Linked DNA regions of Oreochromis niloticus. The protein of the gene in region 4 interacts with the protein of the main gene of each other region in a pairwise test. Links are inferred from orthologs where the notes say so. Each region holds a gene or a part of one and is shown on either strand. Other genes may lie near its edges. The genes, in order: txlna, lmo2, zgc:100829 and rint1.

The links.
Region 1: the proteins of rint1 (region 4) and txlna interact in binary tests that used the Homo sapiens proteins (3 or more experiments, as listed by UniProt). The two-hybrid records come from large-scale screens. The link is inferred for Oreochromis niloticus from reciprocal best matches to the Homo sapiens genes RINT1 and TXLNA.
Region 2: the proteins of rint1 (region 4) and lmo2 interact in binary tests that used the Homo sapiens proteins (3 or more experiments, as listed by UniProt). The two-hybrid records come from large-scale screens. The link is inferred for Oreochromis niloticus from reciprocal best matches to the Homo sapiens genes RINT1 and LMO2.
Region 3: the proteins of rint1 (region 4) and zgc:100829 interact in binary tests that used the Homo sapiens proteins (3 or more experiments, as listed by UniProt). The two-hybrid records come from large-scale screens. The link is inferred for Oreochromis niloticus from reciprocal best matches to the Homo sapiens genes RINT1 and SH2D4A.

Annotation. Positions count from the first base shown.
Region 1 is NC_031985.2:30,555,167-30,562,983, forward strand, and holds the start of txlna (alpha-taxilin), read right to left. Parts: upstream 3,001-7,817; 5' UTR 2,861-3,000; intron 2,251-2,860; 5' UTR 2,241-2,250; coding exon 2,051-2,240; intron 395-2,050; coding exon 137-394; intron 1-136. UniProt on the Homo sapiens protein: May be involved in intracellular vesicle traffic and potentially in calcium-dependent exocytosis in neuroendocrine cells.
Region 2 is NC_031972.2:49,579,367-49,586,568, reverse strand, and holds the start of lmo2 (rhombotin-2), read left to right. Parts: upstream 1-4,185; 5' UTR 4,186-4,637; coding exon 4,638-4,678; intron 4,679-5,672; coding exon 5,673-5,888; intron 5,889-6,891; coding exon 6,892-7,117; 3' UTR 7,118-7,202. UniProt on the Homo sapiens protein: Acts with TAL1/SCL to regulate red blood cell development. Also acts with LDB1 to maintain erythroid precursors in an immature state.
Region 3 is NC_031975.2:13,263,130-13,270,418, reverse strand, and holds the start of zgc:100829 (SH2 domain-containing protein 4A), read left to right. Parts: upstream 1-4,270; 5' UTR 4,271-4,905; intron 4,906-5,593; 5' UTR 5,594-5,945; coding exon 5,946-6,132; intron 6,133-7,289. UniProt on the Homo sapiens protein: Inhibits estrogen-induced cell proliferation by competing with PLCG for binding to ESR1, blocking the effect of estrogen on PLCG and repressing estrogen-induced proliferation. May play a role in T-cell development and function.
Region 4 is NC_031981.2:447,174-454,445, forward strand, and holds the start of rint1 (RAD50-interacting protein 1), read left to right. Parts: upstream 1-4,249; 5' UTR 4,250-4,476; coding exon 4,477-4,698; intron 4,699-7,272. UniProt on the Homo sapiens protein: Involved in regulation of membrane traffic between the Golgi and the endoplasmic reticulum (ER); the function is proposed to depend on its association in the NRZ complex which is believed to play a role in SNARE assembly at the ER.

The DNA.
Region 1 (7,817 bases), on a different chromosome or scaffold from region 4:
TCATAAATTTGCATTTTTAGTTGATTACTCACAATCTTTCCACTTGGATCACTCCTTGTGCAGGGCGCTCACGCTAATTTCTCCCACTTATTCCTATAAATCTGGCCAAAACACTGAACACACTTCCCCCTCTTACCTAGACCCTTCACTTTTTTCTTCTCCTGAGTTTTCTTCTGCTGCTTTCCCACACCGCTGTCACCACCATTGACTTTGCTTTCCTCTGGCTTGTCATCTTCCCTCTCATTGGTCAGGCCATTGAGCTCTGGGCTGTGTGACTGGCCGTTAGCTAAGGCGCTGGCGTCGTCTGAAATGCTTTCCCGACAGTAGGTGCTAAGGATGTCCTCCAGCTGCCGGCTCAGCTCCTCTGCCATGTCACACTGAGACAACGGAGCCTCTGCAGTTACACAGAATGGAGGGGAAAAAAATGACTCTAGCTGCTTTTCTTCTTCTAAAGTCAAATATGTTGCAGTTTGGTTTTTCAGTTCATAATAAAAAAAAAATTTTTAAAAACAGACAATGTAGAATTCGACAAATATAACGAGAGAAATATGAAGCTCACTCCCTACAAGACCATGTCAGAAATACTCCTTTAAAACAAAAAAAAAACCAAAAAAAAAACACCTAGATTATCAGCTCAGCAACAGTTTAGAAGTTTAGACAGTTTATTTACAATATCTTGAAAATAAATGAGAATCTTTAATTGATTTGTGATTTTGAGATGCTTTTAGGCACCGTCCTCAACCACGACGCACATCTGAAGGCCTGTGACTGGCGTTATCATCACAGATGATCACATGGTCAGCGTTTCTACTTCCTAACTGTCACTTTGGCCATGCTGGATCTCACTTAGCAAATTAAAGGCTTAAGAATAAGAAAAATGAAACAACTAATAATAATAACAACAGCAAGCAAACTATTCTAAGCAGTGTAGAGTCTGCAAACATTAGTGGTGCCAGCATTATAATATGGAGCCGGAACCTGCTATTAGTAAATTCTGCCAGTAGACTATCATTGTCCGTATCTGCTAACACTGCTTATGATGCGTGCATCTAGCATGGCACTGAAACTGATGCAGAAGCACTTCATAGCTGGAGCTTGACAACTGAGATGCAGAAAATGAAAGAGGCACTGAGCTTTTTGATTGTATACTTTGTCATACTGCTGCTAAATGCTGTTTGTCTGCAGAGGGTCTATTGTAGGGTCTACCTTACAATATAAAGTACCTTGAGGCGACTGTTGTTTTTCACAGCAGTATTTGAATTTATCAGTGAGGGGATAACTTTTCCTCAGTATAAAAAAAATAATTATCCTAGCATCAATATCAGGACTCACAAATGTCAGAAAATTCCTGGAGGGAGACTGCTGAAACTATCGGAATGGACGTGAAGGAATGTACACTAAGAGGGAAAACTTCCCTGAAAAAAAATTGACCACAGCAACAAGCGAGGACCCAGGAGGCACTGCATGTGAAACACCGGGACAAGGCCCTATGTTAATTAACAAATAATGCATCAGCACCAGCATAAATGCACTTACATAGGTTACATCTTAGGCTCTACAAAGATTCCCCACAGAAGTCTAAAGCAGGCCGGAGAGTGCAACCCCCCCACAGCTTGTAGTGGGAAGGACACACTAACTAAAGCACTGGATCATATGTTGCTATTAGCAAGCTTCCTTGCTTCAAATCAGAATAAGAACTATCACCACCAACTCCCAGGCCAATTAGGTAGACAGCAGATGAATAATTTTCAAAAACGAAAGATTTTAGAGCAGGAATTTCTAAACTACAACAGTCAACTGAAAAAAAATGTGTATGTGTGCCTCCTCCTCTCACAGGGACTAAACAGGTACATGTACCCTTCTGGCTGGCAGGTTAATCAGTGAAATAGAGAAAAAAGCTCTACTCCTACATCTTGGTTGCTTGGTAGACATACGCATGCACAACTGGGAAACAAGATGACAAACTTGAGTCACAAAGACTGATGATAGGAAGGTTTTAGCCTACTATATAATCTAGTCCAGCTGGGATTGACATGAATTCAAAGTTTACCTCCCCCTGCCCCCTCCTCGCCCTGTGGCGGTGTATCCGTCTGTGGTGTCTGTGGTTCAGACTCTTTGGGGCTGTTGCTTTCCAAGCTGTCCTTTGCAGCTGCAGGTGACTCTGTCCCTGCTGCTGCAGCTGTGGGTGGAGCATTCTCAGCAGCCTGAGTGGTGGACTCTTCGGTATCTTGTTTTTTCATCTCTTGTTACCTGTTACAAGGAGAAAAACCTGCCATGGTTAGCTCAGAGGGATGGAATGTAATAACAGCAAGTAGACTTATTTATTGAGCAACACTTAATCGTCAGCGCAAATGAGTCATAGAACATTAAACGTAATAAAGTTTCTCTTTCCTAGCCTAATAAAGCCTCGGCTGTATGGGGACACAAACAAAGTGGCAGCAGCCGAACCACAAGCGAAATAAACCTGTAGTTACTCCTGCTAGCTGTGCTCCTGCGCAGTGCAGTAACGTTTCCTGATGGACTTGTTTTTAAGTTTTGGTTTTAAGACAAGCTCCGCACGATTGGTTTGGTGAAACCTGAACTTTAGCCTGGAAATTCATATCCATTTCTATCCTCCAAACATTAAAGAGTAACTTTTTTTAGCTGCTTTCTTTTCTACCGTGCCCTGTCCCCATTAGCTTTCACTTTGCGTTAGCTAGCAGAAGCCGCCAGAAGCAGCTAAACTAGCTTACACAACTGCCAGGTAGCCACTGTGAGCTCGTATATATCGGGCACAAACTACTAAAACAAGAAGGCACACTACACTGCTACTTGCTTATAAATGATACATGTTGTTTACAGGTAATATACAACTGTTTACCTTTAGAGTCAAGGAGGAAATTGCTAATGTGTCTGTAGGTTTCCTTAACAGCGTGAGACAGAAAAAAAAAAACCTCACTTCCGGTAATAACTTTGGGTTCTTCTTCTTCTTTGAGGTTTATTGGCGCTCGGCAAACAACTTGTTGGTGCTTTATCGCCACACGCTGATCAGGAGGGTCAATTACAACGTTACAAAGCAGCCCCTCAGTCAAATTAACTAATGCTGAAATTAACTAATGCTTAAATATGGCGTGATAACACATTTACTGATAACATTTTCATCGTGAGCTTTTCAATAAATTGAGTTATTTCTTCCTATATTTCTTATAGCATAGCATGTGTTCTATTGTTTTCTCCTATCCACAGTTGTAACTCTTGCCTGTTTTATGTTTCCCTATTTTAAACAGTGCACGTCAGGGGTGTCAAACATAAGGTCCAGGATTAGCCGGACAAAGACCCACTGGGTGCATTTGGAAAATGTGATGAAAGACATGAATTTTTGGACTTATAAATATAATTTAATACATTTCGCAGCTTTTCTTACCGATAAAGATCTTCCTCATGGCTATTTTAACTACAGCAAATTAGTTAAATAACAGGTATTGACCATAGAAATTGTAATTTTTTTTTTTTACAAAGGGTCCACAAAAAAGGTCATGTTCTGTGAATTACCAGAAACTTTCTGTTTCTGGACCATCTGAGCTACAACTGATGTTTTTTGTAATTTTATACATTTACTTCTTATAATTTAAGCCCAAAGAGTCATACTGAAAGACTGATTACAGTAGCATCTCTTTATCACTGAAAAACAGATATTCAGATACACATATTATTTTTATTAAGATGTCCAATTGATTAAATAGTAGTTCAATTCGTGTACAGAAGGGGGATTTTCACTGGTTTGTCCCACTTAAGATGAAAATAGAATGAGTTTGACATTCCTGGTGTACGGTTTAGTTCAGGGTGTAAAACGCTTTTACAGATGTGTCCAAAAAGCAATTTCTGATGTTTCTATAAGTTTTCTATGTGTAGTACCTTTGCTTATAATTTTAAATAGAGGTGTCAACATGATTCATGAAGGGGTTATATATAAAATAAAGAAATGAACTGTATCTTTAAATCTTTAAATTCATTATAACCAATCCAGTCCTTTTTGGTCACAGTGTTTGCTACTCTCTTTGCCAGATCTCTCTGGAAAATACATTTTAATGTCAGTCAGATGCTTTACCAAGCAAAGCCACTTTGCCAAAAACTAATTGCAGCTTCTACCTTGTGACAGGAATGTCCTCTCGGGCTCAAAATGACTTGATGTCATTCTGCCAAACATGTGTTTGCCACATGTTTGGCAGAGCATAGGCCAACATATCATTTTAAACCAACTTTATTGAAAGTTGCATTGGGATCAAACACCACTGTGTACTTTTTGGGAGTAACAGACAGACTGAACTTAGATCAAAACTCACCATATATTAATAGATTTGTTCAATCATTTTCCACCCAGTTTTTACAATAAAACCCCAGCTGATCTGCTGAAGGTTTCTTCCTGTTAAAAGGGAGTTTTTACTTCCCACTGTCACCACGTTGTCTGACTGTTTAGGTTTTCTTTCACTTTTTTTTAAAAATTTTACCACCAATCACTTTTTGGCACAACTGGTTCCATCCTGCTAACTTTATTTATCCCAACTTGCATCTGTATTGTCATCTTTTCCTCCTCCCGCTGATTTTGCAGCCTTTCTTTCAGTTTTTGCTCATTTCTGTCTCCCGCTGCAGCTAATTGCTTAATCAATTAAAATGCTTTTTGTTTCTATGTTTGAAAACCTTGTCTGACATTTTGTTTCTTTTTATATCATAATGGGCTGGTACACATAAATGACTGAAAGCCCCATCATACTGCACCATAATCCTGCAATGAGAAATTCTGGATTTTTTACTGACCACAATCATTTGTATAAATATAACTGCGGTAAATTTAAGTATGTTCCTGCCTGTGCTGTATGTGCAAATCCTTTTAATGCTAATGATGTGTTTGATGTTTAACTGATCTGTTTCCATTTGTGCTGCTTTCTGTCACACTGCCCTACCAAGCTTGTTCATTTTCATTCTCTTTTCTCCTTCCTCCATCAGCATGTGTGGTGTTGGTGTTGATACAGTAGCTTCTTCCTGAAATTCCTACTTCATGAGTTGTTGGGATCTACAGGATTCCAAGTATTTTTTATTCAAATAAAAAGAAAGAAAGACATAGACTGTATATTTAAAAAAATCCATATGTTAGTATGACCTTGTTAGCCATTTCTGTGTCCAAACTGAGTTCAACTGAGTTTGAAGTTAGTACAACATCTTTAGATGGAAAGTAGCGAGCTATGCTCTGACTGAAGGATTTCTAAAAACCTGAAACATACAGCTCTGCTTTCACTCTAGATGGAAAACTAAACAGCAGCAATGTTTGCATGAAAGCTGGACTACCTGGTGGCTACTACAGAGCTCTAGTCCCATTGTCATGGTTAACAGAGCAATATAAACAGCACAGTTAATGGTTGAGAGTCCCTGATGGGCAGATAAATGCAACGGCAGGAAAAAGATGATGAAAATGGACCGAATGTAAAAGACCAGCCTCTGAGTGAGTCTTTCCTGAAGACTTCAAATATTTACCATTTGACAAACTGTCAACCCATGGGTTGTAGCATCTTAAGGCCTAAAAAACCACCTACAATAGGTGAAGAGTGTCTGAAAGTCATGTATACCTTACACAGGACCTGAGGGATCCATCTGCTGTTCACTGAAGCCTCATCAGAAATGGTCTGAGTGGAAGAATGGCTTCCAAAAAGCCAGTCTTAAGGAGGCTGAGCCAAATTACACAAGAACTGGACTGTAAAGTCAGTGGCAACAGGTGTGCTGGAGCAATTAATCCAAATTTTAATTTATTTTATGTGAGCAGAGCACAACAGTAAGTGCCTACAGCCATCTATAAAACATGGTTGAGGAAGAAAAACTGGCGAAATTCTGAATGCAGAAAATATGATTTTGATCCAGCATGCAGTCTCCATCTGGAAAGTGTCTGACTGGCAACAGCTTTATTTCTCCGCATGAGAATAATCCCAAACACACTACCAATGCAGTAAAAGCATACGAGCATAGAAGAGAGAGGGAAAAAAGTCAAAACACTGTTGAACACGATCAGTCATGACTGGCCTGTCATTGTGCGATCAGCTTGACAGGTAAAAGAACAATAGCTTTGAATGTCCTTCAGTAAGTCTGGAGAACGACTCCTGAAGAAAAATTTCCTTTGAGACATTAAAAGAAAGTTTGTCTACGAGAGTTCTGTGTTTAATACAACTGGTGACACCCAATCCTGAACATCAGGCTTGTAAGAATTATACCAACTGTTTTTGCCTTCTATGGCATATTTACATTAATGTTTCCACATTTCAATAATTATAAATCTAAACAAATTATGTTTCACATTAAATATCACCGTCAACATTCCAACATGAAAGAACACTGAGGAAGAAAAACTCATTAAAGGGTTGCAACATAACTTTATTGGATTTGTACAATATTTCCACTGAACAGTTTTTTTTTAACTCTATGATTTCTTTACATTTTTTATATTGTTGCCATTTCCTGTATGCATCTTTTCTTCATGTTCATGTTTGTGTGTCATGTTCAGTTTTGAAGTGTACTAGTTTCTCGTCGCTCATTCATACCGTCGGTAAAAGTCAAGTCGAGTCACAGTTTAAAGATGGGTCGTTTGGAGCAAATGAAAAACCATAAACAAGAATAGAGAAAATAAATACGTGTAAAAGAAATGAGAGGACCAGAGCAGAAGCACGACTGGTCAGTGATGGCATATGAAAAGTATTATTACAAACACGAAGCATTGTAAACATTTGTAGCGTAGACGTTGCTTTAGATTTTGATAAAGACACCAACAGCTCCTAGGACGGAAGACACGTCAGATTTGTGATTTTTAGTGATTTCTGTTCAATCCCCGATAGATTACAAGATTCCTGATCACGCAGCCTGACGAGGAACTTTAAACACATTTATCCAAAAATATAGCCCAGAATATCCTGATCAGGAAAAAGATCAAGAAAAGCAAAAACAAAAAAGAGAAGCTTGTATCCTCACCACCTATTTTTTTTTTTTTTTTTCGTGTGACATGTTCTAATGAGGCTTTTTCTCCACTTCTTAGAAGTGATTAGAATTACATCTGAATCCCTGTCAATGTATCAGAACATACATATAGTTTAAATTATAATACTTTTAATGTAAATCATTGTACTATTTCTGAATCCCAGATTTATTTAAACTTCTTTTGTTTTTATCTTAGAAAAATGTCAAGTAGTAGCCTGTGTTCGCTCCACCCAGTGGAAGGAGTGTCACCTGTGAGAGCTGCTCTTCCTGTAGGTGGGCCTTTGCCTCTCGGGGTGGCTGATTTTCTTTTTTTTTGGACAATGTTTTATTGCAGTCTTCTGGATTAATCTGCACATTTTTCCAACTCCTTAAAGAGCGCCTGAATTTAAGAGAAAAGAAAACTCAGGAGTGAGAGAGCATGCCATCTAGTGCGGCTTCTAATGAAGAGAGGCAAGGTTTAAACGGCCTGAAGGAATCTGTCAGTCATTCTGACCGGGTCGACACAAGCCAATCACATAAAGTCATACAAACTAAACATCAAGGAAATTTTTCAGCCTTCTTGAGGACAAAACTTTGGTAAACTAACGTGGACAGTTAGGTCAGTACCTGCATCTGTCTGCCCTGACAGCTGCTTAGGATTCCATTATTTGCATTATGTGCCACATCATTACAAAGTTTGTATCAGTGCAGAATTTTTTTTTTTTTTTTTTTTTGCAGAGGGCGACTGGCTGCAGGTCGTGACATCATGAATATGAACCCACTGCTCATCTGTGCACAGTGAAAACTATTAGAAGACTGTTACAGAGGGGACCATCACACCAATG
Region 2 (7,202 bases), on a different chromosome or scaffold from region 4:
ATTTCACTTTAGATTGGACAGGAAGTAGTTGTTTTTACTGATGCTGTTCCAGAGTTTGCACAATCGTAGAGTCAACACCATGTCCATAGTCTTTTACTTTGGGAAATTTGCCTGCAAGAACTTTCAATATTTTATTTCTTGGGAAATAAATTCCCATTCTTTGCTGAAATGATTAGCTTCTGTATGATTTTACTGTTTGCTTAGCAGCAATGTTTTTTTTCCCCCCGACATTCCACACTGCTTTCAACTCCATAATGCTCTCAGTACAAAACAGGCAAAACAGGAAGTTGGACATGCACTTCCCTAAAGGTTGTCTACACTCTTAACTGTTTGCTCCCCAACTTGTACCCCAGAGAGGAATAAAAGCTGAAAATAGCAAACCACATTTCACATAAAAGGTCACTATTGCCCTTATTTTAAATGCTATAAAGTTCAAAGCATGAAGTGTGAAAATCCCCCGCCTTTCAGTTTTATTACAGAAGTAGGGTGACACATGGATGTCAGATCTACAGTAAAGTGCAGCTCCTTTCTGGTGGCATTTAAGAAGCGTTAGAACAGAGATATGGGTTTTACCACCCAGTCACAACAGCCTCGAGTTGTCTATGAGAATACTTTCTCCTATCACCCCGAGCCATCTGGAGTCTAGCAGTCTATCTGGGAAACCATGAGAAGGGTGCCATCGTGCATGTAGGGGGGTAGGAAGTGAATGCAATGTGCACCAACCCTTCAGGAAAGCTTCATCTCTGCATGCCAGTTTGAACATCCTCTGGGCTCTCTCAGTCAACTCCACAGGAAGTAGTGGATGACTTGTGTCATGTCAGTGCTGATTTTGTATTCTCTCTTGTGTTTCTCATCTGTCATGAATTTGTTCATGTGCTTTGTGTTCATGCAACGTGGCAATCTGGAAGGATTCAAATATTATCACTACACATGTATTCATGGGTAGCATTGATTGTGAGCCTCAATATTTCCTTTGTTTGATTGTTTCAGAGAGGAGAAAGTTAAAATACCAAAAACTAAAAAAGACTATTACAAACCACCACCATTTAGCACAGTCAGTGCTAAATGAAACTGTTGATATGTGGCACCGTAAATTGGCACTCAGTCAATAAAACTTTAGCTATTTAATTCATTATTTGATTATTTGACATCATTGAAAGCTCAAGAATAGTGCAAATCATTTGATTACAATACCAAGGGAAAATTGCATTGTTCATATGGGTGAAATACTTACTTGATCCCCTGCTGAATTTGTAAGTTTGCTCACTTCCAAAGAAATGATCAGTCTTTATTTTTTATGGTAGCTTTATTTTAATGGAGAGAGACAGAATGTCGACCAAACATCCAGAAAGAAAGAAAAACTTGACTTAATACTTGGTGGAGAAATTGTTGTTGCAAACAGCACTAAGATATTTCTTGTAGTTGGTCAGGTTTGCACACATCTGAGGAGGGATTTTGGCCCACTAGTCTTTACATAAACTATCTAAATACTTTAGGTTTCGTTGCTGCTGCTTAGAAACTTTAAACTTCAGGTCTTTCCACAGAATTTCTATAGGATTGAGGCCTAAAGACTAGCTAGACCACTCAAAGATGTTAACATGCTTCTTCTTTAGCCACTCCTTCATTACCTTGGTGATCTCTTTGGGTCATTGTCATGCTGGAAGACACATCCACAGCATATCTTCTGTGTTCCGGCTGAGGAAAGGAGGTTGTTGTCCAGGATTTTATAGTACATGCTCCTATACATTTGCTCCTCAATGCAGTGAAGTTGCCTTGTACCCTTAGCAGAAAAATAAACCCAATGCATAATGTTTCCACCTCCATGCCTGACTGTGACGATGGTGTTCTTTGGGTCATACTCACTTCTCTTCCTACAAACATGGCTGGTTGACTTGATGCCAAAGAGCTTGATTTTGTTTCATTTGACCACAGCTCTTTCTCCCAAGACTTCTCTTGCGGGTGAAAGATTTCAATCCATTATAGTGTAGTGTGTTGACAATGGTGTTCTGACTGTGGTCCCGACTTGCTTCCGATCATTAACAATCTCCTCGCGTGTAGTTTTTGGCTGATCCACAACCTTTATCATGATCATCCTCACCCCTTGAGGCAAGATCTTGCATGGAGCTCCAGATCGATGCTCATTTTATATTTCTTCCATTTCTGAATAGTCACATCAACAGTTGTTATCTACTCACCAAGCTTCTTGCTGATGGTCATGTGGCTCATTTCAGCCTAATGCAGGACTAAATTTTTGTCCCTGACATCCTTTGCCAGATTTTTGGTCTTGGAATGGAAAAAAAAATGATTCAGTGGATAGTTGTGCTTTGTATACATAATAAGTTGAGATCAGGATTATCTGTAATTGATTGACTGATTGTAGTTTATGTGCCACATGGCAAGCAGTCAATCTGTGGGAACCAACCTGGATTTTTGTTCTATATTCTGTCTCTCTATCAAAATGAAACTGCCACAAACATTAGAGACTGTTCATTTCTTTGTAAGTGAGCAAACTTACAAAATCTACAGGGGATAAAATAATGATTTCCCGCACTGTATATAAGCAAGAGGGATTAACTGCATGACATTTTTATTTAGTGAAGATTAAAGTCACTATAGTCAAAATGGTCCCTTCATTGTGTTATTGTGTTGTACAAAATCTGAACGTGTTTCTCATCTGAAGGATTTGTAGTTTGAGTTTTATCTCTGTCAAGCTGCTCTGCTTTCTGCGTAGCTGGCACACAACAGCCATGCTCACCTTGCTCCTGGGCTTTCTCAGCTTGGTATCAATCCAGTGAGTCTACTCAGCTCTCCAACTGTGTGGCCCAAGGATGCTTTCAGCCTTCATCTTAGAGTTCGCCTGTGATCTTTTTCTGTTACATTTGGCTGCAGAACTGATTCTGGGTGCTGGAGTTTAGGTGCTTTATCTTCCCTGTCCAGTCAGACTGCTGTCGGTGTCCCTCCCTCCTACAGGCGGCCCTGAGGCACTGGCAGTAGATAAGAGAAGGGCCCACAGCAGCTCTGGTTTGAAAAGGAAAAGCCATGAGGACACCAACTATGTAGAAATATCAATGCATTAATTCCCCACAGAGGCAGCTTTCACAAGCTCTTTTTTTTTGGATTATTTCTAAGCACAGCTTAATCATATCTTCCTCCAGCTTCACAATTTCTCTGAGCTTTGTGTAAAGAATCAGCAAGTACACATATCAGAATTTTACTGTTGACATAATTGTTAAAACGTCAGATGGAAATATTAACATTAAAGTAATTACTAGTGAGTTAACTGGTGGATGGACTGCTACTTATATAGTGCTTCATACAAGCACTTTTTTTTCTACACTTAAGTGCTTTTCCTCACTTTTCGAGAGCAACTTCGGGTTCAGGATCTTGCCCAAGGATAATCTGGCATGCAGACCGGAGCAGCCAGGGATCGGACCAATTAGTAGGTGACCTGCTGTACCTCCTAAACTACAGCCACGCCAATTAACCTAAAAATTATTAGTTTAGAAGATATGTGATGCAAAGTTATTGCTCAAACTGTCTGAAAATACTCTTGTGCATAATCAGTGATCTAAGATTACATTACAGAGAAGTTACGCAACAAAAATAAAAATAAAAAGTAAGGGACTTCCCTGGTTGTCTGAAAAGGCCCTGGCAATTGTGTTTTCAGCTGTGTGTTTATGTAGGACCTCTAAAATATAAAATCACATTTTAGGAAGTAAAATGAAGTCCTTGGAATTTTTTTCTAAGTATAATATAATAAATCCACTGAATTCAAGTTCACATTACTTAACGCAGTGATAACCATCATCGTCTGAACCCTTACAGAAAGTGACCGTCAGAACCTTTTAGAACCGGCAACACCTGGGGCATAATTATGAGAGAAAACACAAATACTCCTCCCCAAAGAATTAGACCGTGCCACTCTTTATCTTTCGTCTTATCTGCACTCTGGCGAAGCAAAGCATAATAATCATTAGCCTCAGTCACGACCCACTCCACGCCTGACAGAGCAAGGCCGTGTTAAGCTGTCGCTTTAAGACCGATTTCCCCCCATTGTCAAACAGTCGTGAGCAGGAAGAGGGAAACGAAAGCACAGCCTGACTAGCGAGAGAGAGGGGGTGTGAGGAGGGGAAGGGCGCGCGGGGAGGGGTGGGGGGGGTGTATTTAAAACACGATGCTGCTGCTACTGCACAATAACGGTGCCCGCGGCTTCATGTGGGTTCGCACGCCTATGAAAAGGCACGAACACGGAGAGCCACGTAAGTGACCTTCTGATCGCATCACACGGCGTGTGCATTTTAATAAAGAGCGGACAGGCAGCAAAGTCCCTGCGGGGTGAGGAGACACACTTGGAAAAAAAGACGCGAAGTCTCTCCGCGGGTCACTGCCTCAGGAAATGATGACAGTGTCCTCCATCACGGCTTAGCCGCTTAAAGCGAACACTTCTCGTCTTGCGGCCATTTCGTCTGGACTCAGCTGCCTTCGATTGAACACGTTTGAAAGCCTGACGCGGGCTGCTGGTGGTGCTGGTGGTGCCCCAGAGGTGGAGCAGGTGCAGCGCCCGCACGCAGCTTCGCCTCGCGGGTCCCCACTGAGCTTGCTGGCCAGTGGACCAGGCTGGACATCATCTTTGAAGAATGACATCCACGATAGAGAGGAAGACGCTGGAGGCCAGCGAGTAAGTAGCAATGAATGATGTTAAATAATGTCATTTCTGATTCAAGTAAAAGTATCCGTGACGCATCAGCACTCACGGGACAGCCACAACTCTCCGGTGAGACAGCTGCAGAAAGCTGGTAGCATAAGGTCTGAAGTCTCCTGCTGTTAGATTAAAAATGTCAAAGTTTAAGAACAGAGTGATGTGTTAATGTTAATAGAATAGAATAGAATAGAATAGAATAATCCTTTAATTGTCCCACAAGGGGAAATTTGGTTGTAACAGCAGCCAAAAAGACACATATACAAACAAACAGTACACAGGACACAGAACAGAAACATACACAATTTTTCTTACATATTTACATTAAGGACAATGGTTACTATATACAGAGAGTACTGTACAGTTATTAAATTAAATATAAATAACTATAGATAAGAGGCAAACCAGGTTGTAGTGCGAATCGGTTAATCGGTCTTGCGAGGAAAAAGTTAAGAAAAAGTGGAGCGCTAAGGCACTCCTAGCGTAAATCGACATTTAAAAAAAACAACCCAATATTGTGTGACATACTTTTTATTAGTTAGCGGTTTAATATCCAATGGCTCCCTCAGGTGGACGGGAATAAAACACATCTGCGCACACAGCTCCAGCTCAGAGACCGATCAAAGCTGAAATCATTAGAAAAGATATACATGTGTTTGTGTAGCACTTATTAGATACAACACAGTGTGAATATTGATGCAGAACACTAACTGTGCCTTTAGATCAGGAAATGTTTGTTTATTGCATAATAATAGCAAAATATCAACAGGTCACCAGTAAGTATGTGTCAGAGCTAGAACAGTTCTATTCCAGTATTTGATTCATCAGTTAGCAAACTGTTTGGGAGACCTGCATGTCACACTGACTAACTAACCAATCACACAACTGAGGGAAACCTTTGCAGATTAACTGATGAAGGAAACAAAAATTTGATGCTGCCCTAAATCCTTATTGCTTTTTTTTCTTTTTCCAGGGAACCGGTGGATGAGGTCCTCCAGATGCCTCCATCTCTGCTGACATGCGGTGGATGTCAGCAGAGCATTGGTGACAGATTCTTCCTGAAGGCCATCGAGCAGTACTGGCACGAGGACTGCCTGAGCTGTGATCTGTGTGGCTGTCGGTTGGGGGAGGTGGGCCGCCGGCTCTACTACAAGCTGGGAAGAAAACTGTGTCGGAGAGATTACCTCAGGTTGGTTCAGTTGGTGTAATGTAGTGATATTATGAATTAATCAATTAGGTCGTCACCCTTTTAGTTAAATTACACACAGAAAAAGAAGCACTTTTTGAGATGCACTAGTATGTATATCTTTTATCACACCTTAAAGGCTCATGGAGAAACACTTTGAGCAAGTATAGAAATTTCTAACCTATTTCTACCTGTAACTTTTTTACTGAAGAAAGTGTGGACAAGTTGAAATAGATTCAGGAGAAGAAGGCAGGTCTTTGTTAAAGAACTAATGTTAAAATTTGATATGATATGTAGCTGTGTGGTGCACAGCCACATATCAGGTAAACACATTTACCTAACCTATCTCTGCCTGAGATACAAACTCAGGCAGATGCACTGGGGTACTCCTCTCAAATATGTAGTATCAATCAGTGGCCGAACCTGTATGATCGGACCTGGCTTGTGAATGCCCTGCATCACCACTTTAAGGATATGTGTTGCTTTAATGACAATGCATTTCCGCTTTATTTATTGCAAAATGAAGTTTGTGTTGCTCAGTGGTTTTCAAACTGTGTGCTGGGTCCCCCTGCTGGCGTGTAGTGCCACTGCATGAGGGGGTGTGGATGACTTGGTGAAAAATATGGACCGAAAGTAAAGCAAATCTGTAGAACTTATGTGTAAAATAAACAAACAAGAAGCAGGTAATGCAGTCCTTCTATACTTTTGCACCATTTCCCAGAAATTCAGCTCTGATCCATTTATTATTGCTAATAATTGCTAAAAATCGTGGGTGGTTGTGTGACATTTTCAGCTTCTGAAGAAGAGCAGGATAGAAAAAGTCTGTGAAGCACTGGTGATGGCTAATTTCCTCTCTAACAGCTCAATCCCTCAGGCTCAGGGGAAAGATCCAGAGTACCTTAATGGAGATACTGTCAGTCTCTCTTACAGCTTCACATCATTAAGAGCGAGTAAATGTTTTCCATCTTCCTCCCAGTAACATGTTGATGCCCTCTCATCCACTCAGGCTTTTTGGCCAGGACGGTCTCTGCGCTTCCTGTGAAAAGAGGATCCGAGCATTCGAGATGACGATGCGTGTGCGGGACAAGGTTTACCATCTGGAGTGCTTCAAGTGCGCTGCCTGCCAGAAGCACTTCTGCGTGGGTGATCGTTACCTTCTCATCAACTCAGACATTGTGTGCGAGCAGGACATCTTTGAGTGGACCAAGCTCAACAATAATAATATGGTTTAGGAGGATGTCTTCTTTCCCCTTGATTCAAAGGGAATGGACTACTGATAGACATTTCGTATTTCCAATGCAGGCTTTATAATGCATT
Region 3 (7,289 bases), on a different chromosome or scaffold from region 4:
TATGAGGGCTAGGCCTGCTTCGGAAACTGATAAGATTTCATGCAGTACATATATATATATATATATTAAAAAAAACAAAACAAAGGAACGTGTAGGCATTTTCATGAAATGAAATAAGTGCTCTATTTATTGTGCAATATGCATTGCATATAAGGAACTGGTCATTGGATCTTGACATTTGCCAGAGGCATTCAAAGATATATTAATATTGTAACTTTTGTTTCAGTTGAAATTGTTGCCATGCAGATGGATATATAATAGACTACCTTTGTGTCTCGTTGTTAATGCAATGTGTTCAGTTTAAAGGTACTAAATGTGTATTTGATAGAGGAAATGCAGAGACAACATGTAGCAAATGGCCTGAACTGCAGATTATTTAACAAGGCAAAAGACCCTGAATATACTGTGTTGATTGGCATGGTAAAAACCAGAAGAGCGCAATCGGTTAGTACATATGAAACAAACTTTTTGTGATCTTGTTTAGTCATAAAAGTCTAAATGGTGCCAAGGAGTGCTGTTGCTGCATGTTTATCTGCACTACGATTTCGTTGGTCTCCCAAAATATTGGCTCAAAGACCCTTCCATACGTATCTTTATCTGCCTATGTTGTATGAATCTCAAGTTCGAGGACTGGGGGGGGATTACCATCCAAAAGGCTCGGTGTAGTTCTAGTGGAAGTTGTTTCAAAGCATGATTGTAAAAGCAGCGACCTTGTGAACAGTAATCGAAATGTCACCATCACACTATGAGGAGGGCCACTGAGGCGCTTGCCTGGCTTAGCCGAGGTGAAGACAGCCTGGTTCACCTGTTGGTGAATGTCTGTTATGTCATTGGATGTGCACATTCCTTTCTTGCGTTTTAAGATCTTAGGGTGTGAAGTTCAGTGTGGGGCTACTTTGGATACATTCTCATAGCTCTGCTTTAGATTTGTAAGCCCAAATACCCACCTGGGGTGATGAGATTCTGTTCTGGTCTAATTGTAAATATTTGGGCTGCCACACGGAAAACAACTGGTTCTAATCCAGTTCAGTCGCATCTCATAGATGTGTGATAGCAGTTTTATAAACTCTGTCAGTAAACTCCAGAGAAACTGGCAACAATCAGATAATGTCAGATTTACCTCAGCATTGAATTAAATGATTGCTCCCATGTTTAGATTGACTGGAAACCAGCAAACTAGACTGTCCTTGACCACCTATTTTTGGAGCCTTTGGTATAGCCTAAATGATACCTGATTGGGAGCATCCTCTTCAGCATATAAACAACCTGGTGCCTTACACACTCCGCATGCTTACACGCTGGCCTGGTGCTTTGGATCGCAGTTATGGCTTCTTTTTGTTTTCTTCTTCTTCTTCTTCTTCTTCTACTTCTTTTTTCAAATCTCCTCTTTCTTCTATTTCTTGTGTCTCAGCCCCCTTGTGTGCTAGCGCACGACTCGTGGTGCTAAAAGGGTTTGTTACAAACTCTTTAGAAAAATAGGAGCAGAATTCTTAACTTTTTTCTGCTACCTTTCAGCTTCCCTCCCCTCGACTTTATTGCCATCCCCATTCCCTAGCCATCCAGGTATCGGCCTACATGTAAACATGGAAGGGGGTGGTCACCTAGATGCAAGATGATGCAGAAGAGATGGCTCTTCACCAGCCATGTGCATTAGCAGGGAGAGCAGGGGCTGATTGGGAACATCAGTAGTGGCCTGAAATGGTATCAATTGTTACGGGAAAGCCCCACCCCACCCCTTAAAATGCTCGTTTTATGGCTTGGGTTAGTTATGTGTAAGTTGTAAGTTGCTCAATTAATGGGGAGTAGCAAGCATGTCTTGTTTTGTTTTGTGTTTTTTTTTTTTTTTCTTTGTTTGTTTTTTTTTTTTTGTTTGTTTTTATGTAGTTTTACCTTTTCAGCATTATTCCACATTATTTGTAATTTTGGAATGTTTTTGCCCACAAAAATATCTTTTTTTTCTTTCTGTGCAACATTTCATCACTGTGTGCAATATCATATGTGCCAATGGTGGCAATATATGTATATCAATTAAATATATGATTACTATTTGAAAGCATATGGCTGAATTCCATGTTTATTTCTCATGAAGGAATTGTACGCCTTTATTTGCACACAAAGCTCCATCCTGGAGGAAAATATAGTAAACCAAGGTCTTAGCAGCCTGTTGAGTCAAGCAGTTCACGTACGTACTTTAACTTGAAATCGAACATTGTCCCTGCAAGTATGCCCCTCTCAAGGAAAAGGGTAAACTTGGTTAATGGTTTGTTCAAGGTAGACTGTAAACATACAATGGAGTTTTTTTGTTTGTTTGTTTCTTTGTTTTGTTTTTTTCTTTCTTTTTTTTTTGTGAAAAGGAAAATTTAAAAAGAAGAAAAAAAAATCCCTGGAATCTCCATTTTAGCTTTAAGCTAAGAAAAGGTGCTTCAGTCCAATCCTCATTAAGGTGTATGGTGAACTGTCTTCAGTGGTTGTTGTGTGTAGCACTTTGCTTTCCCAGGTTAATGAAATGCCTGACCAATACTTGTTTAAAAATGATCTCAACAAAGAATGTTGTTCTCTTTTCTGTTACCTCTTTTTATTTAAAAAATGAGGTTATTTGATTTGCTCATTTGGTTTTTGATGCATTCAATATAATTTATGTACATTTGACAAATTATAAAAAAAGAATAAATTTAATTTACCCATGAGGGGGAAAAAATCTACATTCAAAATGTATGTGTTTTTCATGTTTCATTTCTTGTTGTGGGATGGGGGTGGGGGAAATCACTGAAAAGTCTGTTTAATTTTTATGTAGTGTTGTCTACAATGTCTGATTATACATTTGCAATGATACTAATTGCTAAAGCTTAATTTTACAGCCTATAAAATGCAAATTTTGCAATGGCGAGTACCTGATGACTCATGTCTTCTTAGAGATTTCTACAATAGTACTGTATGTGTAAAACCAGGCTGTAAAATAAAGCGTTACTTTGTTCTCTGACTATCCCGACTATGCAATTTGTGATCATCTGTATGCAACAGTTGCTCTTCTGTGAGTTTTTCTGTTAATCTAAAAACCAAAAAAATAAGACTTTATTGATCGTGACCCAACAGAACCTGCACATGTTTTAAGTTAAATTTTTGTAATGATTGTTTTTCTTTCTTATTTTTTTTTCTTTTTTAATACGTTTGGTGTCGGATTTAAGCTAAAAATCAAAGTTAAAGAAAAGCTTAAAGTTGCTTCCAAATGTTTTTAGGATGCGTCTCAGTATTCTTGAGTTTATAGCTATTTATAAGTAAAACTGATTCCCTGTAACAAGTTGAAGTCTTGGTTTAATTCTGTTAATAAAATGAAATGACATAGAAAATGTTAATTATCATTATGTAAATTCTGAAAATTGGCCAAGTGATATCAGCAGCACCCTTTGGGTTGCTTCTAGGTCCTAAATCATGGAGCATAGAGGCAGATTTATTTCTGGGCCATCCACATGGAGTACATTTGTATTGCTTCAACCAGTCTCCTATCAGCAGAACCCACATAAGAGTAAATACAGCATAACGAGCTGCGAGGTCCATTCTCTAGACATGCCCAAATGGTATTTCTCCAGGACATATGTATGTTTGTGCTTTGTTGTTAGTTGATAGTCCCAGCCTGCCGGATGGGATGGAGGGTGAAAGAACTGAAGTGGATGTGCTATACCGAGATGGACTCCAGCCCAGATGCCAGCTTACACTCCGACTTTGCTCCTCATCCCAGAATCTACACAGAGAACTGGTCTCTGTCGTCACAGCATGACTAAAGCATCCAAACAAGGATAAACCCCATTTAATCAAACAAAAATTCCCTTATTAAACATAAAACACATTGTAAAGTGTTCTGATGGTGTTTAGTCTGATCCAAGGTGCCACACTTTGAATCTATGAGAGAACTTACATTTTATTAATTTTGAAACATGACCATTATCACATGAGCACTTTGTCACCGCTGACTATAACAAATGGCTTGCTACAAAAGCATCCTGCCTGTCGTTACCTTTCAGGTGCAGGTGTCTGCATGCATTGTATATTTACGCTGTTTTGCAGTTGAAATTTATGGAGCCATGCGGTCAGTGTGCACAAGCACCAGTTTTTATCCAGCTTTCATTTAGTGCTGTAGTCTGAGGTAGTTGAGCACTGGCTTGGGTGGTGACGTAATCCATGGCAGGCTCCTTTTCTTTTTTTAAAATCACAGTAATTGCTTTAACCACTAGAGGCCGCTCTTTACCTAAAAATGAGTGGCTCATAAGCAGAGGAGGACAGGCTTAGCTGAGAAAATTTCCTCTGGCTTGAATGTGCAAACTATCAACAGACATGGTAAATTGAACAGCAAACAGTTACTTGCATAAATCCTAGAAGGCACATCGGTTGTTTCACATAATGCTAGAAGCTGTGCTAAAGTTTTGGGTAATGCTAAACGCAAACGTTAGCAAATAGCATTTCTTAATTAAAAGGCGTCGTTAAAAGGGAAGAAAATACAGGAGGAAGGGAGCTATTTTTTCTTTGTTGCATTTTTTTAATATTGTTTGTGTAGAATTATATGTGTAAGCGAAAATGTTTTGAAGATATGTAAAATACGTGTGTTATGAACATGAACGCATGCCTTTCTTTCTAGCATATTTAAAGTGAGAGTTCAACTTCCTGAGAGCAACTCAGGAAGTTGAAATGTGGCCTTAAATGTAGCCTTAGTGTGTGTGTGTGTGTGAGAGAGAGAGAGAGAGAGAGGCTGTCAGAGAGAGAGAGGAAGGGAGAGGGAGGTAAAGAGATTATGGAATGCTGTGATGTCATCAGCTCAGTCATACACACAAAGACGAGGAGGACCCACAGGCGCTGTGACTCCCTCAGCTCAGTTAGCATACTCTGCTGTGGAGCGGCTGTCTACATCCCACTGTGAGTACTTCAGCAAATTCTAACCTTCTCTTGCAACTCCCTTTTTGTTTTGTAGCACTCATTTTCTCCACTTCACCCCCTCCCCCCTGTTTTCTTTGGTTTCCTTCTCTGCACCCTGCGGTGTGTTTAGCAGACACCAATCTGTATTCCACCAGTGTGATAGTTTTCAGTCTGAGACGAGCTTTCTTTCCCTCCAAGTGCTGCCTATGTGGTAGCCATTGTTTAACTACCCACTGTGACTGGAGGAGTCCATTTCAATCCTCTTGTTAGACAACCTGGCTCTCGCTGTCCAGTGCTATGACCCAGATTTTTATCCCTCATTACAACCAGACACTGGCCATGTTTTAAAAAAAAAAAAAAAAAAAAAAAGAGGCGGGGGGCCGCTATCTTGTGAGAGTTTTAGAGAGAAACGAACATGGTTTTGGGGAGAGGAAGGAGCAGGGTGGGACACTGATGTCAGAAGCAGTCCCATTCCTTTGGAATCTCCTCCCATTCTGGGTAGCAGACTTTCTGTAAAGTGTTGAAATTGGCTTTGGGCTCTTCCGTATTCATGCAGGGAAGGACAAGACAACTGCCTTAGATATTTCTAGGAAATAAGAAAAGAAGTTTCTTAAGAAAATATGTAAGACACTGCAGCTTTGAAAATCATGCAAGATGATCTTTACTGTGTGTTTTGTTTTTCTCATAGATTGTGCCAAAGATGACCTCCAAAGAAATCTGACATCTTGATGGGGAAACTGAGCACAATATAGAAAGGAAGCAGGATTTGTGAGTGTGTGTGAGAGAGAGAGAGAGAGAAAGACAGACAGACAGAGTTTGTATGTGTGAGATAGTACAGCCTGTACAAAAGCATGTGTAGAAAGAGCAAGAGCCTTAATTCATGAGTTCAAGAGTGACTATAGGGACAAAGAAGAAGCTACAAAAGTCCTCTGCTGACATGAGACCATAAATCATCCTTACACACTGTACACTACGAGAAGCAAGCTTCAACTGCTTGCCAAGTGGTACCAGGTTAACGCACCAACCCTTCGGCCGCCAACATGCTGCAGCAGATCTTAAAGGACATGTACATTGACCCTGAGGTGCTGGAAGCCCTTAACGAAGAGCAGAAAAAGACACTGTTCCTGAAAATGCGCCAAGAGCAGGTGCGGCGCTGGAAAGAGCGGGAGGAGAAACTGGAGAGAGAGGGGGGCGACGCAGAGTCCAAGAGAGCAAAGCCAAGAAAAGGTAACCACACTGATCCATCACCACCACAGCCGCCACCTCACCCTTTTTAACCTTCCCTCTTCCTGTTTATCTCGAATCTGAAGCTGCAGGGTGCAGCTTCAGGTTTTTCAGGCCTCCGACTGTCACGTTTTCACAAAGGTTCCACAGGAAGCCATCTGTTTTCTTCTGAGCAAGCGCTTTTGGAGTCCTTGGAGTCGAGATATATGAGTAGTGTGCTGAGAATTATCCGATAGAGCGTTACAAAGCTTGATAAGGGAACCACTGAAGCATGTGTACGTTGGCTGTGACAGATATCCTAAGCTGCTGGAGTTTGCATGCTCCCAATTACCTGAACAGCTGTTTGTCAAAACATGAAGTGAGCATCAAAATAAGTTTTGTTTTGTTTTTTTTTGGGGGGGGGGTTGTTTTGTTTTTCTACAGCTCGTCCTAAACTATTGCAGATCTTTATTTAAATATCTGTTATAATTGCACTTTTTATTAAATGCTTCACCCTCCACAAGGTGAAAATAGTTTGACCGTATGGTCTAATTTCCTTGTCTTCTGAGCCTCATTCACACAGACAGAAACTCTAAATTAGATCATTTTATTTCCAATTGAAACATTGCAATGTGAGGTCCCAGATGTTGCTCATATCTGGAATTCTGTATTTGATGACAAATAAATGTCAGAAGAAAACATCCACAGGACAGGAGGAGATGGCAAAATAACGCCTCTGTAGGGAAATTTACAAGTTAAACGAAGAGTACATGTGTTTATCAGGTGCTGACATAAGATATGATAACAAATACTGTCTTTTTCCCCATACTTGGTAAATTCTTTTGCTCAACCTAGGTGGTGAGAGTATGCATGGGAAAAACAAAACAAGCAGAAACTCAGGAAGCTGCAAGCCTGTCGTGAAACTGGTTTGACAAAATCTTGCGTGTCTGCATTTTCTCTTGTACGTCTTTTGTATTAAGGACTTCTGGAAGAAGGGCGTTGCGTAACAACATGAACATAACAAATTGCTCTATCACCTTAATCCAAACAACAGGGGCAAAGTTAATTTATTTGGATGAGTGCAGCAGTTACTTAAACCACAGTGATATCACAGCATGACTTAAAGCCAGTTGATGATTGACACAGTGATGTGTTCTGTCTGGTCTTGGTTAATCAAAGCA
Region 4 (7,272 bases):
AAAATAAAATGTATTATTATCATTAAAAAAAGAATAAAATTCACATATATATGCATTTCATTTTATTGTGTTTCAGCCTTTAATTGTTGTATTTTTTAAAAATACATAGATTCAAGAAGTTTGCTGTTTGCCTAGCTGCCCTGGGACGCCTCTGTCAGCTGTGGCTACAATGTAGCTTGCCATCACCAGTGTGTGAATGTGTGTGTGAGTGTGTGAATGGGTGGATGACTGAATGTAGTGTAAAGCGCTATACAAATACAGGCCATTTATTGTCATATAACCGCAAAACACGAGTGGTTACGCAGAGCAATGAAATTCTTACTTTGCAGGTTCCTTTCACACAACTGAATAACAACTAATTAAAATAAAGACTAAATTTAACCCTGAGCATAGAAAATAATAAATGAAGTCAAACAAGTGCTTTGTAGCATTTGTAGCTTGTGTGTGGGTGTAGTCAGAAAAAAGTGCAAAGTAGTTGCAATACTGTCACAGTGATAATATATACAGAGTATGCAATATTAAAGTGTTTATATTGTATGAAGTTGTGTTATGTTGTATATAAATGTACAAAATTGTACATTTACAGGTTAAACGTAATCACAGTTCAACAATTAGTCAGTGATTCAGTAGCCTGATGGCCTGTGGATTGTCCCTGGTTTCACACTCTGTAGTGTCTGCCAGATGGCAGGAGTGTGAACAGTGTGTGCTGTAGGTGGGTGGGGTGGGTACTCCACAGATGTTTTAATAACATGTTGCAGAGCCTTCCTGTCCTGAGTGGTGCTGGTCCCGTACCACACTGTGATGGACTTTGTCAGCATACTCTTCACTGTGCATCTGTAAAAGGTGCTGAGCAGGTTGGGGGTTAATCCAAATTTTCTCAGCTTCCTTGAGAAGAAGAGTCGCTGCTGAGACTTCTTGATGATTTGTCGCGTGTTATGGGTCCAGGTGAGATCCTCTCTGATGTGTGTGCTGAGGAATTTGAAGGTCTTCACCTTCTCACCTGAGTCTCATTGATTTATAGTGTGGCATGCTGGTCTCTCCTCATCCTCAGGTCAATAATCATCTCCTTAGTTTACTCAGCATTTAAGGAGAGATTATTTTCCAGGCACCAGGACACCAACTGAGCCACCTCTTCCATGTAAGCAGTCTCCTCTGCAGCAGTGATCAGCCCGACGATGGTTGTGTCGCTGGGCTGAACTTAACGATGGAGGTGTTGCTCTGGGAGGGGACGCAGTCATAGGTGAAGAGGGTGTACAGGAGTGGACTGTGTACACAGCCTTGGGGAGTCCCTGTGCTCACTATCTTTGTACCTGATATCCCGACCCCTCTGAGTCTGGAAACTCATGGTGATGAAGTCAGAGGCTTGGATGGAGCTCAGACTGAGGTGTCTGTGAGTTGGAGACAGGGAGTAGGTCGGCTTGACCAATCTGAAAGGTCTGAAAGGGAGGGGGATGGAGAGTACAGATTTAAAACACACAAAGTGGAAGCTGATTGGCTCATAGAAGGCAAGGGTTAGTGGTTTGTATCATATCTATCTAATAGACTCCAATTTGTACATGTAAATGGAGAGTCCTCTTCACACACTAAGGTTAATTATGGAGTTCCACAGGGTTCAGTGCTAGGACCAATTCTGTTTACATTATACATGCTTCCCTTAGGCAGCATCATTAGAAGACATAGCATAAATTTTCACTGCTATGCAGATGACACGCAGCTCTATCTGTCCATGAAGCCAGGTAACACACACCAATTAGTTAAACTGCAGGAATGTCTTAAAGACATAAAGACCTGGATGGCCGCTAACTTTCTGCTTCTTAATTCAGATCAAACTGAGGTTATTGTACTCGGCCCTGAAAATCTTAGAAATATGGTATCTAACCAGATTCTTACTCTGGATGGCATTACCTTGGCCTCCAGTAACACTGTGAGGAACCTTGGAGTCATTTTTGACCAGGACATGTCCTTCAACGCACATATTAAACAAATATGTAAGACTGCTTTCTTCCATTTGTGCAACATCTCTAAAGTTAGAAATATCCTGTCTCAGAGTGATGCTGAAAAACTAGTTCATGCATTTATTACTTCCAGGCTGGACTACTGTAATTCTTTATTATCAAGATGTCCTAAAAACTCGCTGAAAAGCCTTCAGCTGATCCAAAATGCTGCAGCAAGAGTCCTGACAGGGACTAGAAAGAGAGAGCATATTTCTCCTGTTTTGGCTTCCCTTCATTGGCTTCCTGTTAAATCCAGAATTGAATTCAAAATCCTGCTCCTCACATACAAGGTCTTAAATAATCAGGCCCCATCTTATCTTAATGACCTTGTAGTACCATATCACCCTATTAGAGCACTTCGCTCTCACACTGCAGGCCTACTTGTTGTTCCTAGAGTATTTAAAAGTAGAATGGGAGGCAGAGCCTTCAGTTTTCAGGCCCCTCTTCTGTGGAACCAGCTTCCAGTTTGGATTCAGGAGACAGACACTATCTCTACTTTCAAGATTAGGCTTCAAACTTTCCTTTTTGCTAAAGCATATAGTTAGGGCTGGACCAGGTGACCCTGAATCCTCCCTTAGTTATGCTGCAATAGACGTAGGCTGCCGGGGATTCCCATGATGCATTGAGTTTTTCCTTTCCAGTCACCTTTCTCACTCACTATGTGCTAATAGACCTCTCTGCATCGAATCATATCTGTTATTAATCTCTGTCTCTCTTCCATAGCATGTCTTTATCCTGTCTTCCTTCTTTCACCCCAACCGGTCGCAGCAGATGGCCCCGCCCCTCCCTGAGCCTGGTTCTGTCGGAGGTTTCTTCCTGTTAAAAGGGAGGTTTTCCTTCCCACTCTCACCAAAGTGCTTGCTCATAGGGGGTCATTTGATTGCTGTTTTTTTCTGTGTGTATTATTGTAGGGTCTACCTTACAATATAAAGCCCCTTGAGGCGACTGCTGTTGTGATTTGGTGCTGTGTAAATAAAACTGAATTGAACTGAATTGAACTGAATTGAATTGAATTGAATTGAATTGAATTGAATTGAATTGAATATATTGCTGTGGATGACATATATTATGACTTGGGAATTATGTTTTATTCAGTCTGAGTTTTCCATTACAATGAACCTGCATGGCTTTCTCTTGTTCATGAGATATTTACACCAGAAGTGCTAATTTGTGATGAGAATCGTGACAACTGTTAACAAATAGGTCACCTGCAGTGCTAATGGTTTTCCTTGCATTTTTAAAAATATTTATTTGGATTCCAGTGTTTAAATTAATAGATAGCCTATATTGGTCTTCACAATCCACTTCAAAAATGACAATGAGACACGTGTGTGTGTTTGTGAAAAATAGAAGCGCTAACATGAAAAACATTAGGCTGAGACAGGAAGTGAAAGGGAGAGAGAGTACATCTGTTCTACAGAATGGTCACAAAGATCGAGATGAAATAATTTCCACTAGGGATCAATAAAGTATTCTGATTCTGATTCTGAAGATCAGTTTGACAGACAGACGACATAACATTCGACCATATATCCAGTTATAGTTAACTAATGCATGGAAACTTGCAAGTGTGGTTACACACACTCAGAAATTATGCTACAGTTTAACTGTGCGCTCAGGTACTTAGGTAAATAGCACTATACATCTTTATCCATGAATTAGAGGCAGGCACATTGATCCAATTATTAATAGTATCGACAACAACACTGGAATTGGTATTGGATCGATAGTAGTGTGATAGATACTTTGTTTCTATCGTCTAAATTCACTGAATTATATTTTTTTTGTGAATTAAATAAATATACCTCAAACATCCAGTATGAAAAATGTCTGAATCTTGTGTCTTGTTTATAGCCAACAGCACGTTTAAACAGCCTGAGCTGTGTGTTGGAGACAGACACATTTACAGCTCAGTCGTCCAAATACAAAAGGCTGAAAGGTGTGTTTTCATTGTGTTATTCATTATTGTAGAATCTCAGTGATTTAGTGGCCATTAAGTTGTGTTCAGAATTTGCACACCTGTGATGAGTCATGTCATAAATCATGACACGCGCTCCCCTACTTAAGGTACCTCTGTAGCTCAATAGTATTGGTATCGGCCCTGTATTTACTTGGTATCGATACTAGAATCAGCTGTGCTGGACCCGGTACCATGAATGAATGTGCTGACGTGTAGCGGACGGTGCCATCTGTGACGTAAGCGTTTTCAGACAACTGTGGGCTTGTTTTCTCCTCCAGCGTACTCCTCGTGTTAGTGAAATAAACACGGGCCATACAGCAGCAATGGCTACAGTTTACAAGATAGCAAGACACGCGTGGTCACACTTTATGTGAGACAATCTATAAAGGAAGATTTAATATGAAAGTCTGGCATGTGTGTAACCACGCGTGACCGCTGCACGCGTGACCTCCTCCCGCGGGTTACCCAAATACAATTCACGAGCGCCTCCGAGGAAGGCGATCGTTGCATTCGACAGGAAAAATGGCGGCGGCCGTAACAGGAACGCCAGAGCGAGCAGAGAGTGAAATAACAGCATGTTCCCCACAGCCTGCTTACACGGCAGCACCACACCGCGAAGCTTTATCTGCGGAGGACTTCGTGGCGGGTTTCCTGGAGGACAGAGACACCGAGCTGATGTGCTCGAAGACCGTCGGTGAGCTGATGGAGCATCTGACCGAGCAGAACAACACGCTGAAGGAACAGGTGAACGAAACAACGCACAGAAATCATCACATATACCGAGACACAGCGAAGACACGCGTGAGATGTTGTCCTGCTCGCTGTGTCAGTAACATCGTGACAGGTGTTACCCTTACGGCCGTGAATTGTTTCGGAAATTTGGCAACCCAGTCTCACAGTTAAAAACAAACAAACCCTGTAATTGCTCCCAAAAGGCTGATTGTGTCCATCTGAACGTTTTCAGTGGGAGAAACGTTTCGTCATCATCCAGGTGACTTCTTCAGTCTCAGCTGACTGCAGCTTTATAAACAGGACATTTGCACAGTGACCTCACAGCCCACTGAATGAACTGTGGGCTGCCAGCCAGCATCTGTCTCCTAATCACAGCTCAGTGAAAACGTGCACAGGCCCAGCGCCAGGCAACATAACTTACAGGTGATATGAGATTAGTAGTGGTGCAGTTATGTGGACACTGGCGTGGGAACAGTATGACGGTGCATGTTTCTATATATCTCCTTTTTACTCAGTAAACTAAAAATGTAAGACGTCTATAACACTGTATTTTCACACATTTCTGTGTCCTCGCCAAAAGGTTTTGAGTGTCAGAGAAACACGTTTGTGCGTTATTGTGAAGTTTATGCACTTATTTATAGTTAAATTAGATTTATGGTAGAAATCTCTTTAGGAATAAATTTTTTGACTGTGATTGTATATACTGTACCTTGTTTTGAGCTCAGTTTAGAGTTTATATAGCTTTAAATCAAACTGTACTCCTCCAGGCAGCCAGTGGGAGGCGCTGGTATGAGCCACTGCCAGAAGTCAGTGTTTTGATTGTGTTGAGTCTATTCCGGCTCTTTCTCTCCGCTTTCCAGTCTGTGTTGTCAAAAAAGACTTGAATGACAAACTCCTGCTTGTTGGGTTAAACCCCCTGTTGTCTGGTGGCTTTGAACACACCTGGAGAGCAGCTTCATTTTCTCCTCAGAAATATCTCTAAATATCGCTAAAAACGTTGTTTTTCCTCATGTTGGAGTTTGTTAATGCGGTGGTTTGAAGGATTCACACCAACTTCTTCCCAGTAAAGGTTTTAATGGTGATTACAGGAACAGTTGTTGTTGTTGTTTTGGACGCTAGAAACACGTTTTTGTTTTATTCATTTACCCTGAGCTCATCGTCTCATCTTAGCAGACAGAAACTGGTTAGTGAGTTATTACTAAGTTACTGACTCCATTTAATCAGCAGTGAAAATAAGTCACCAGGAGCACATCACTGTTTCAGACAGCCTAACATACAGTGTGTCTGTGCTTTCGGGCACTACCTAAAATCATCTTTGTTGTTATTATTTATTCTTACAGCAGTGGATCATAATGGGACAAGAGCTGTACTTTTCCAAAGAAATAACAGTTTTGTGCATCATGCAGGTCTTTTGTTGTACCAATGAAAGGTACATTTGTTGATGCCAAGTTTAGCGTTACATCCAGGATTCTCTTCAAGAGAGCTTATAGAGCTCTGTCTCTGTTTGTATCTGCTTTTGTAACGGATGATCGCGGTTGGTTGTGGCCTCTTCCTCATGTACTCGTGGATGTTTAGAATAGAATAAAATAATCCTTTAATTGTCCCACAAGGGGAAATTTGGTTGTAACAGCAGCAAGAAAAAATATACAAACAAACAGCGCACAGAACAGAAACATACACAATTTTTTATATATATATATATATATATATATATATATATATATATATATATATATATATATATATATATACATGTGTATATATATATATATATATATATATATATATATATATATATATATATATACATGTGTATATATATATATATATATATATATATATATATATATATATATATATATATGTATATATATATGTATTTTTACATCAAGGACAATAGTTACAAAAACAGAGTACTGTACAGTTATTAACATTAAATAAAATGAAATACATTTTATTTACAGATAAAATGTATTTCAGATAAGAGGCAAACCCAGGTTGTAGTGTGAATCGGATGATAAAATAGTGCAAGTGACAGCGCTGATGTAAACATCTGTGTTTGTTGGGAGCAGTTTTGATTGTACAGTCTGACAGCTGCAGGGAGGAAGGACCTGCGGAAACGCTCCTTCATGCATCGAGGATGCAGGCTCTGCAGTTCAGCAACATTTACATGCATGGGGTGGGAGACTGTCCATCAGAGATGTTATTTTGCCCAGAGTCCTTCTGTCTCCCACCACCTGCACTGGTTTGACGTCTCATCCTGTGTGGTGCTGACACTCACCAGTCCCCGGCCTCCTTCCTTGTGCTTAGTGTGCAGCCTCAGGATGCTGGACTTGGGGTGAAACTAGTGCTGGGCGATATATCGAGTTTTTAAAATATATCGATATATTTTTATACCAGATATAAGATGTGACAATATCGTTTATATTGATATAGTATATGTTACTTTATAATTACAGGGAGTGCAGAATTATTAGGCAAATGAGTATTTTGTCCACATCATCCTCTTCATGCATGTTGTCTTACTCCAAGCTGTATAGGCTCGAAAGCCTACTACCAATTAAGCATATTAGGTGATGTGCATCT